Yarrowia lipolytica: one gene and its partners. Each later gene encodes a partner of the first gene's protein in a complex. Links are inferred from orthologs where the notes say so. Each region holds a gene or a part of one and is shown in the gene's direction. Other genes may lie near its edges. The genes, in order: YALI1_A03278g, YALI1_E38113g and YALI1_E02415g.

Evidence for each region.
Region 2: YALI1_A03278g (region 1) and YALI1_E38113g share a complex: the UniProt entries of both Saccharomyces cerevisiae proteins name them as parts of the mitochondrial large ribosomal subunit. The link is inferred for Yarrowia lipolytica from reciprocal best matches to the Saccharomyces cerevisiae genes MRPL27 and MRPL35.
Region 3: YALI1_A03278g (region 1) and YALI1_E02415g share a complex: the UniProt entries of both Saccharomyces cerevisiae proteins name them as parts of the mitochondrial large ribosomal subunit. The link is inferred for Yarrowia lipolytica from reciprocal best matches to the Saccharomyces cerevisiae genes MRPL27 and MRPL31.

Annotation. Positions count from the first base shown.
Region 1 is NC_090770.1:326,280-328,870, forward strand, and holds YALI1_A03278g (mitochondrial 54S ribosomal protein mL41), read left to right. Parts: upstream 1-1,581; coding exon 1,582-2,007; downstream 2,008-2,591. UniProt on the Saccharomyces cerevisiae protein: Component of the mitochondrial ribosome (mitoribosome), a dedicated translation machinery responsible for the synthesis of mitochondrial genome-encoded proteins, including at least some of the essential transmembrane subunits of the mitochondrial respiratory chain.
Region 2 is NC_090774.1:3,810,054-3,812,955, forward strand, and holds YALI1_E38113g (mitochondrial 54S ribosomal protein mL38), read left to right. Parts: upstream 1-1,305; coding exon 1,306-2,370; downstream 2,371-2,902. Other genes in the region: YALI1_E38107g (uncharacterized protein), read right to left, coding at 1-712; YALI1_E38131g (uncharacterized protein), read right to left, coding at 2,757-2,902. UniProt on the Saccharomyces cerevisiae protein: Component of the mitochondrial ribosome (mitoribosome), a dedicated translation machinery responsible for the synthesis of mitochondrial genome-encoded proteins, including at least some of the essential transmembrane subunits of the mitochondrial respiratory chain.
Region 3 is NC_090774.1:240,126-242,623, forward strand, and holds YALI1_E02415g (mitochondrial 54S ribosomal protein mL60), read left to right. Parts: upstream 1-1,440; coding exon 1,441-1,490; intron 1,491-1,577; coding exon 1,578-1,866; downstream 1,867-2,498. Other genes in the region: YALI1_E02413g (uncharacterized protein), read right to left, coding at 19-1,260; YALI1_E02432g (uncharacterized protein), read right to left, coding at 2,398-2,498. UniProt on the Saccharomyces cerevisiae protein: Component of the mitochondrial ribosome (mitoribosome), a dedicated translation machinery responsible for the synthesis of mitochondrial genome-encoded proteins, including at least some of the essential transmembrane subunits of the mitochondrial respiratory chain.

The DNA of each region.
Region 1 (2,591 bases):
TGTCCTTGAATATTCCGAGGCATTTAAGGTTGGCTATAATTAGAACCGTTGAAATTAGCATGCATAAATAAAAGTTCGACAGTTCAACATGACGCCAACTCCACATGAGAGGAGCATCCAAGAATAGACCTGGTCAGCTGAACGAGTTGCTCGATCTCAATCTCTTCGATCAGGGTTGTTTTGATTGTTTATTAGAGCATCGAACATTTTGTGGAGCCAAGCTCTATATGAGTGAGAGGTACGAGCAACTAGAAATGCCCTTCACTTTGGTGAAGAACTCGGTCTTCATTTCTCGTAACTGCAAGTGCAAATAGAATTAAATACCCCCTAATTATAGTGTCACCAATACCGAGTTATTATGGTCATTGAGTTGATCCTACGGAGTCGAAGGGGAGTTTGATAGCACTTGCGAAGTCAAGTTCATATCACGTCTTGAGTTCAGGCAACTATTTTACCGAAAGTCCACTCATAATGGGAGTATTTGGGAATCAAACCACCCAGGCTAGGATCTATCTTCGTATAGTTATATGATCTAAAATGTATCATCTATGTATCATCTAGCATGTATCCCTTCAGTATAGCCCCTTGTGTTCCCTTTGGTGCTAATGGATCACTCTCGGGGAGTTTCTATTGATCATTAGACTGGGGTATGATAATTTAGCATAATTGTACAAAATACAGTATGTACTGTACGTACAGTGCCGTACAATCTGTACATATCCTGTTTGTCTATTTCGTTCTATCGTCGACTGGATGTTCAGGTGTATATGATGCGACTAGACACATGTGGGACATGGAGAGAGCTGTTCCATAAAGGAATAGACTGGAGCCCCATTGGATTATGGCCATTGATAATTAATCTTTCCAACTGTCAACTACTCACTCAATACAAGACTATAGTCAGTATGTCATTATTCTCATTTTTCAATCAGCTTCCGGACACACCAATCCTGACTCAGCAAACAAGAAAAACATCCACACGAGAAGCAAAAAAGAATGAGCGGGGGGGAATTAACCCCTGGCCTGCTTGCAATTTGGGAAGGCAGATATTTCCACTACACCACCGCCCGAATGGTGGGGTCCCAGAGTTGTATCGACTATAAGACAGTGGAAATGATCAAATATCCGGCGAAAAAGGCTAGAAAAAAGAGATAAAAACTGTGTAAAGGGGTAAAATCAGTAATATACAGTACTATGTAAAGAATTATTCATAGTTTTTTTGTCTCCAATGAATCATCTCAGCCTCCAACTGGAATACTCAACAAGGAATAAACATCTCTAAAATTGATACCAAAATAACCACAAAAAATGTGACATTTCAATGAACAAATTCCCATCACGCATTTTCTTCAAAAATTCGACCCTTGATCTCCTTCTCCGCTCCCGCCATTTCATCTTTTCAATTTCCCTTATCTCCTATCTCCGATACGAGAACCTTATTTGCTTCCATCCTTCAAGCTTATTAATCATCTCCCAGCAAGCTTATTTTGTCCCGTCACGTGAGAGTGAAATTTTACGGTTCCCAAATCATCACCGCGACATCAAAAACCATTCAACACACAACACAAACATCTCCACACAATGAGACCCTCGTTTGTGACCCAGCTGCTGCGACCATGGAAGAAGGACCGTTCCGGGTACATGTTCAACCTGTTCTACGGTGTGTCGAAAAACGGTAACAAGCGACTGCCCCTTACCTCCAAGCAGGGTAACAAGAACTTCTACAAGGGCCATGGAGCCGGTGGAGTCGGTAAGACCACTTCCAAGGGTCGATTCATTATCAACCGAGACAAGGTCCGAACTTTTGTCGTTCCTGCCGGTCTGGAGGCTTGTGAGCTCAAGCCGTTTGTGTCCCCCACCCTGGAGCCCATCAAGAACTCTTTCCGAGGCTTCTCGGGTCCCCTCGACCCCAAGCTCACCGTCAAGAAGGTGAACGAGTATGTCAAGTCCGGCCCTGTTGCCGAGGAGGATGCCCCCGATCGAAAGAACTGGATCGATCGAGAGTAAGAGACGTGTCGGTACGTGACACACAAACCTGAAGGATGAGCGACTGGACACGAGTCGAAACCAGAGGAGGCGAAAATTGTATATATTGAGCATGATTCATGATGATTGAGAACGGTGGGAGTTAGTAGTTGATGTAGGTCGGTGTAGTGATAGTCAACGTGACGGTGGTGGTAAGTATTAGATGGTGTACTTAGGAGTAGAGTGGTTTGTTTCATCGAACTTATTCCAAAAGACAGAACTTGTTGTATGTGTACATTTGTCTTTCAATCGCTTGTTTTCTACATCTAGAGTCTGGTTTTGTTTTTCGAGAAATTGGCTAAAAACTGAAATACTGTCCAGTTCCACGCAGAATAGATACAATACAGTTGGATTTGATTTATTATATTTTTCGAACGTCGAATCTTCAATTCGATGGGGCACCACACACTTCTGTTCATAGGCCAATTGTAGCTGATCCACAGGCCCCATTCGGCTGAGCACTAAGCCCATGTGTTGCGATCTAGAGTGACACTATACATTATGATCCATGTTCATGTCACGTGCGGCGGAAAGCGAAAGCGCGAAACCTGCTAACAATGTCGCTC
Region 2 (2,902 bases), on another chromosome or scaffold:
TGTCTTTACAGAGGCGCGGGGTGCCGACCTGCATGACGTAGTTGCACGTTCGCTTCTCCTTGATCCACAGTATATGGTCATGCTGGACGTTTTTGTCACATACAAACTGAACCTCGATTTCTCGGTTGGCGCCGGTCAGAGGACAATGGGTTCCCGAACGGAGTCTATGGGCCAGAAAGGGGATTCCTCCGGCACTGGTGACCGTGTTGGTCGTATCGTCCTTCTCGAAGCTACCGAGCACGAACGTGGGCGAATCGTCTGCCTGAGGAGGAGGATAGATTCGAGGGAAGTAATTGTCTCCATGTCTTCGATACTGAACGACTCCCGAGCCGTAACAGAAACGATACGAGAAGAATCCCTGTTCGTAGAAGAGACAGTCACCCAGAAGAGGCAACATGAGCTCCAAAGCTCTGTCTCGGGCCTCTGTTGGCGACAGTTCTCCCTCCTCTCGTGATTTTGAGCTCTTCGTGGTCGTGACTTCCGGAATACCGCAGATGTGGTTTGTGCCGTTGAATTGCATCATCTCGTACCCCAGGGGATGGCCATATACCGGATCTCGATGCGGTAGCAGGCCGTTCTGGACATCTGCTTGTCGCAATGGTCGGTTGTGGAACTGTACTGTGAATTGTGGGTCGGCAAAGAGATCGTCTCCTATGTTGAAGGTTGCTGCGAGCGACGAGCTTGCTATCAATGCCAGGGACTTTAACAACATGGCATGTGGCGAACTTGTGAGCTGGTGGTGGTGATTTCAATGTTAGTTACAGCTGTACTTGAACAGCACACGTCATGTCAGTTCAGCATGAATTAAGCGCAGTGGGAGATGCTGTTAGGCATTCAATAAGTGTCATAGGAGAATTTTTAATAAATATAATAAAATCACAGTAAATCGTTAGTCTGAACGAATTATTATATTTATATTTTCGTTTTTTACTCTTAAATCACTATTACAGCAATAAGCCGCCTCGTACACTCACCCCATCTCCATTACTGTATGTACGCTCATGTACCGAAATTGAGTTCATTCTAAGTATATGATTGGCTTAGTAAGCTTAACATGTTCAAGAAAAAATATGGAAGGTACAAGTACTTATATAGAGAAAACTACTTGGCCAAGGACACACTTTTGAATAATGACACAGAAAAAATCTATTGCTTTGAAACGACCTCAGCTGATCTGTCATTATTAGTACTTATAGCACCACCTGAATCACTGTCACTCCATCCCTACACTCTCTCCTCCCAATGTGCATGTTTTAACTCTGAAAAATTCCACAGGTCAATATCACATCTTCACACACAGCAGCCATGATTAGATCGACTGTTCGGCTGGCGCCACGAGGAGCAAGATTTATCACCAACAACAGTGGCTCTGCCGAGACTCTGCGGGTGGCCGACGAGAAGCTGGCCCAGATTCTCACCGGCGGCTCCACGTCCGGAGCACACACCTCCATCAAGGATCTGAACAAGCGAGCTCTGTACAAGAGTCCCCCTGGTCTGGATGCAATCTTCCCCGCTGCTCTGAAGATTGTCGAGGAGAAGAGCGCTGCCATCAAGAAGCAGGCCGAGGAGATTGCTAAGGAGTTCGAGGCTTCTGGAGACAAGGCTCTCAAGGACCAGTACATCAAGCTCATGGGCAAGGCCGAGGTCCACAACCCCCAGGTGATGATGAACCACGTGAACGGCAATGTCGATATGAATCACCCCGTCTACCGACATCTTGCCGAGGCCGACTACAAGAAGTACGAGCAGATTCTGCTGGTCGAGAGTCTAGAGACCATGCATGTCATTCCCGACACCATGCCCGTGATTGACGCCAAGGCTCGAGTTCGAGTCAACTTCCCCGGCAACGAGAAGGGCAAGTGGATCACTCCCGGAACACTGCAATCCACCGAGCTCACCTCCGAGCTGCCCATCGTCGAGATCCAGGAATTCGAGGACATCCCCAAGGACGCCAAGTACACAGTCCTGCTGGTTGATCCCGACTACCCCGTCCCTGAGACCGAGTCCTTTGGTACCAAGGTCCACTGGGCCGTGTCCAACGTGCCCATTTCCGTCGATCAGCCTCTTGTGAAGCCCGAGCTCGGAGACACTCTGGTCAAGTATGTGCCCTCCACCCCCGAGAAGAACTCTGGAGACCACCGAATGTCTCTGTGGGTGTTCCGACAGGACGGTGACGTCAAGGACTCTCTTTCGCATTCCGACTTCTTCGACATCCGGGGCTTTGCCGACAAGCATAAGCTGACCTCTGTGGGCGCTTTCTTCTGGCGAAACCGGTTCGACATGTTTGCCGAGAGCCTGCGGGAGAAGTTTGGCCTTGGAAGCGGCCGAGTGTTTGGAATGTCCAGAACTGGCGAGGACGTTCCCCGATAAGTGTATATAGTCAGAATCAGAACAAGCACCTCGTGCTTGTATTCGTAATGTGAAGAGTTACATCAACATGTCTATATTGTAAGATAACCATGGAAAGATCAGATCTAAAGGGTGGCTTAAATCAATTGAACATGGAGAACTTTTTTCGTATCTGGTATTCAAGGCTCCATCTACCATTTGTACTTGTAGTACGTCATACTGTGTCCAACTACACTCAACTACAACCCACATTCAAGTCACATACATAAATCAAATTGAAGGGAGCTGCGCAAGGCGTGCCACCAAAGAGGGAAAAGAACCGCTGGTAAGCCACTTCGCCTCATAACCTGTCCAAATGGTCAATTAATTACATGCTCGTCGAGCTTTTCGATGCATAAATAATACGCTTAGGCCTTCTCGGGGAAAGCGTGGTTGAGGTAGGCTTCAATGTCGAACTTGTCGTCAGAGATATCGGTAACAACACCGGTGGAGGCGACGGGGGCGGGGTGGAGTCGGGCCCACTCGGCCTTGGCCTGCTCAATGAGCTTCTCCT
Region 3 (2,498 bases), on another chromosome or scaffold:
ATGTATGTATGTATGTTGTTATCGGTCGCCCATGTATTTGAGGTACTGAGGAAGACAGTTTTCAGGCATCAGAGAATCCTTGAGATCGTCTGTGGTGAATCGACCAGGCTTGCATCCATGACACTTTTTGGACTTGGGGCAATTGAAATAGGGGAAGTGGTAATATCCAATGTCCTTGAACCAATGGATTTGTGACTGGTTAGCAAATAGTCCTGCGCCGACAGAGTGCACGGGAGCATCTCCCCATCTCTCGTAAAAGAACCCTCCCTGTTTATCCAGATGCTCAAACCATTGGGCGTATGCATCGCCCCTGAAGAACTTCAGAGACGCGATTTCAAAGTTGGACCAGAAATGGCAAGTGGAGTATCCGCCAGCCTGGGCGTTCCAGTCTGGTCTGCTGGGGTTCAGCAAGAATTGCATGGCATTGTCTTTGTGCAGATACTCCTTGTTCTTCATCAAGAAGGATTTAGTTTCCGGCCATAGGGTGGCAACGGTTTTGGGGTTGTCAAACAATGCAATGGTGAAGCCATACACCTTGTCATTGTCCTCCATGTATGCAAATACATCGTAGTCGATGTCACAATAGTATTGGGTGTCGGGTTCAACGCGCCAGTACCAGTCATAATCGTCCATGGCCTTGTGCTTGTAGAACATACCCGAGTTCCATCTGCACATCTTGTGGTAGGAGTCCATGGCACCATATCGTACACCAGCATCTTCCAGCTTCTTGCCGGCCTTCTTGGCCTTGTCCTTGTCGATCCATCTGGGGGCGTCCCAGTCCTTCTTTTCAATCAGCTCAAACTTGACTTCAGAGTCAGTCTGTTCGCGCACCTTTTCCTTGAACTCGTCGGTGAACTCTTCATCATTGAAAAAGATCCAAGGGTAGCCGAATTTGTGATTGAATGTGTCCTCGACCTGCACCATGGCATCCACAATACCGTCCAGCTCTTTGTTTCGAACAAGAGAGATAAGAGCGGCTTTAGTTCGCCGCGTGTCAGTGGCGCGAACAAGAGGCTTGGCACTGACAGGCTCGTCCACCTCTTCAAGCAGGGGATTGTTCTTCGGCGTTAAGTCCTCTTTTGGTTCCGTATATTGCAGGAATGCATCGTTGGGTTGCTTGTAGATGCTCTCCTCTTTCAAGAAGTCCGCATGTGTTCTGGTCCAGTCATCTTGTAACGAGAAGTAGATCAGGAACACGAGCAGACCGAGCGAAGCCGTCACCAGCAGCAGGAATAGTCTTCTGACTATCAGCGGGGTCATATTGTTAGGATGTGGTCCTGTCTCAATCGATTATAGTTAATAAACCTGTCGCGACACGCGAACACTAATCTAGTGTGGGCGTTGTAAATATGTCCCAACCAGGAATCGAACTGCGGGATGGAAAATTCCTCTTCCATACTTGGTGAGAACACAGATACAGAACACACACCTCATCACACAATGTTTGGGCCTTTTCGACAGTCTATGGTCACCTTTGGTGGCTACGTCCAGTGAGTATCATATATGAGCGACACGAATGAAAGTGTTGCCTAGCTATGCGGGATTTTCCAGCCACTCAAACATCATCTAACCATCAGCAAGCAGCGATACCGATGGAGATTGTCTCCTACACAGAAGGCTGGCCAGCGAAAGCGAATGAAGGCCGTCGACTCAGTCATGGATGTTCTGCGATCTAGCATGGAGAAGCTCGGCGTCACTCCCAAGTTCCTCATCAAGGCTGAGACCGAGTGCCCTCCTTCTTCGGCCATGCTCCCCAAGGACAAGTACACCGTTTTCAGCAAGAACCACAAGGGTTACCGAAAATCCGTTCACCGGGTGCCCAACTTCACCAAGACTACCAACCGAAAGAATCCCCTTGGTTTCTAAAATCCCAACTATTGGCCCTATACACTTGTACATATTAAATTATCTGGTATGATGGGAAGATCCAGCTGTGGATCCGAGTGCTGAGATTAAAGGGAAGTAATGTTATTCATTGAAAGTACAAGTACGTAGTACTGTACAAGTCATTGTAGTGTAGCTAGTTCGTAGATTTTAGTTACAAATACTATAATGTTTCCGCTCTATCCGTAACACTTCTGTGTATTTGCATGTGGTAACAAATCTTTTGGAGCAAAATTAAAGAGATGGTATACTGACATGATTGTGTTGATATTAAGCTGATGTTACTGTAGAGGTGAGAACACACTACAAGTACAAGTACAAGAATTGGTAAGAAACTATGGTTATGCGACCAGCACCCTCCACTATTGTACATCTCTCGCAGTAGCTACAAGTAGGGCGCATACTGTAGCATATCAATTTGCTACAAGTACCGACTTCACTCTGCTCTCATTATGTAATTATAAATTAATCGTCTATTTAAGTAATGCTCATATGACCCAGCCAACATTTTTTTCACTTCTTTCGCTCAGCCTTCCACTTGTAGCTGACATTTCCATCCTTGACCACCTTCTCCTTCTCGCCTCCCTTAGCAAGTTCTCGATCCAGATCCAGAC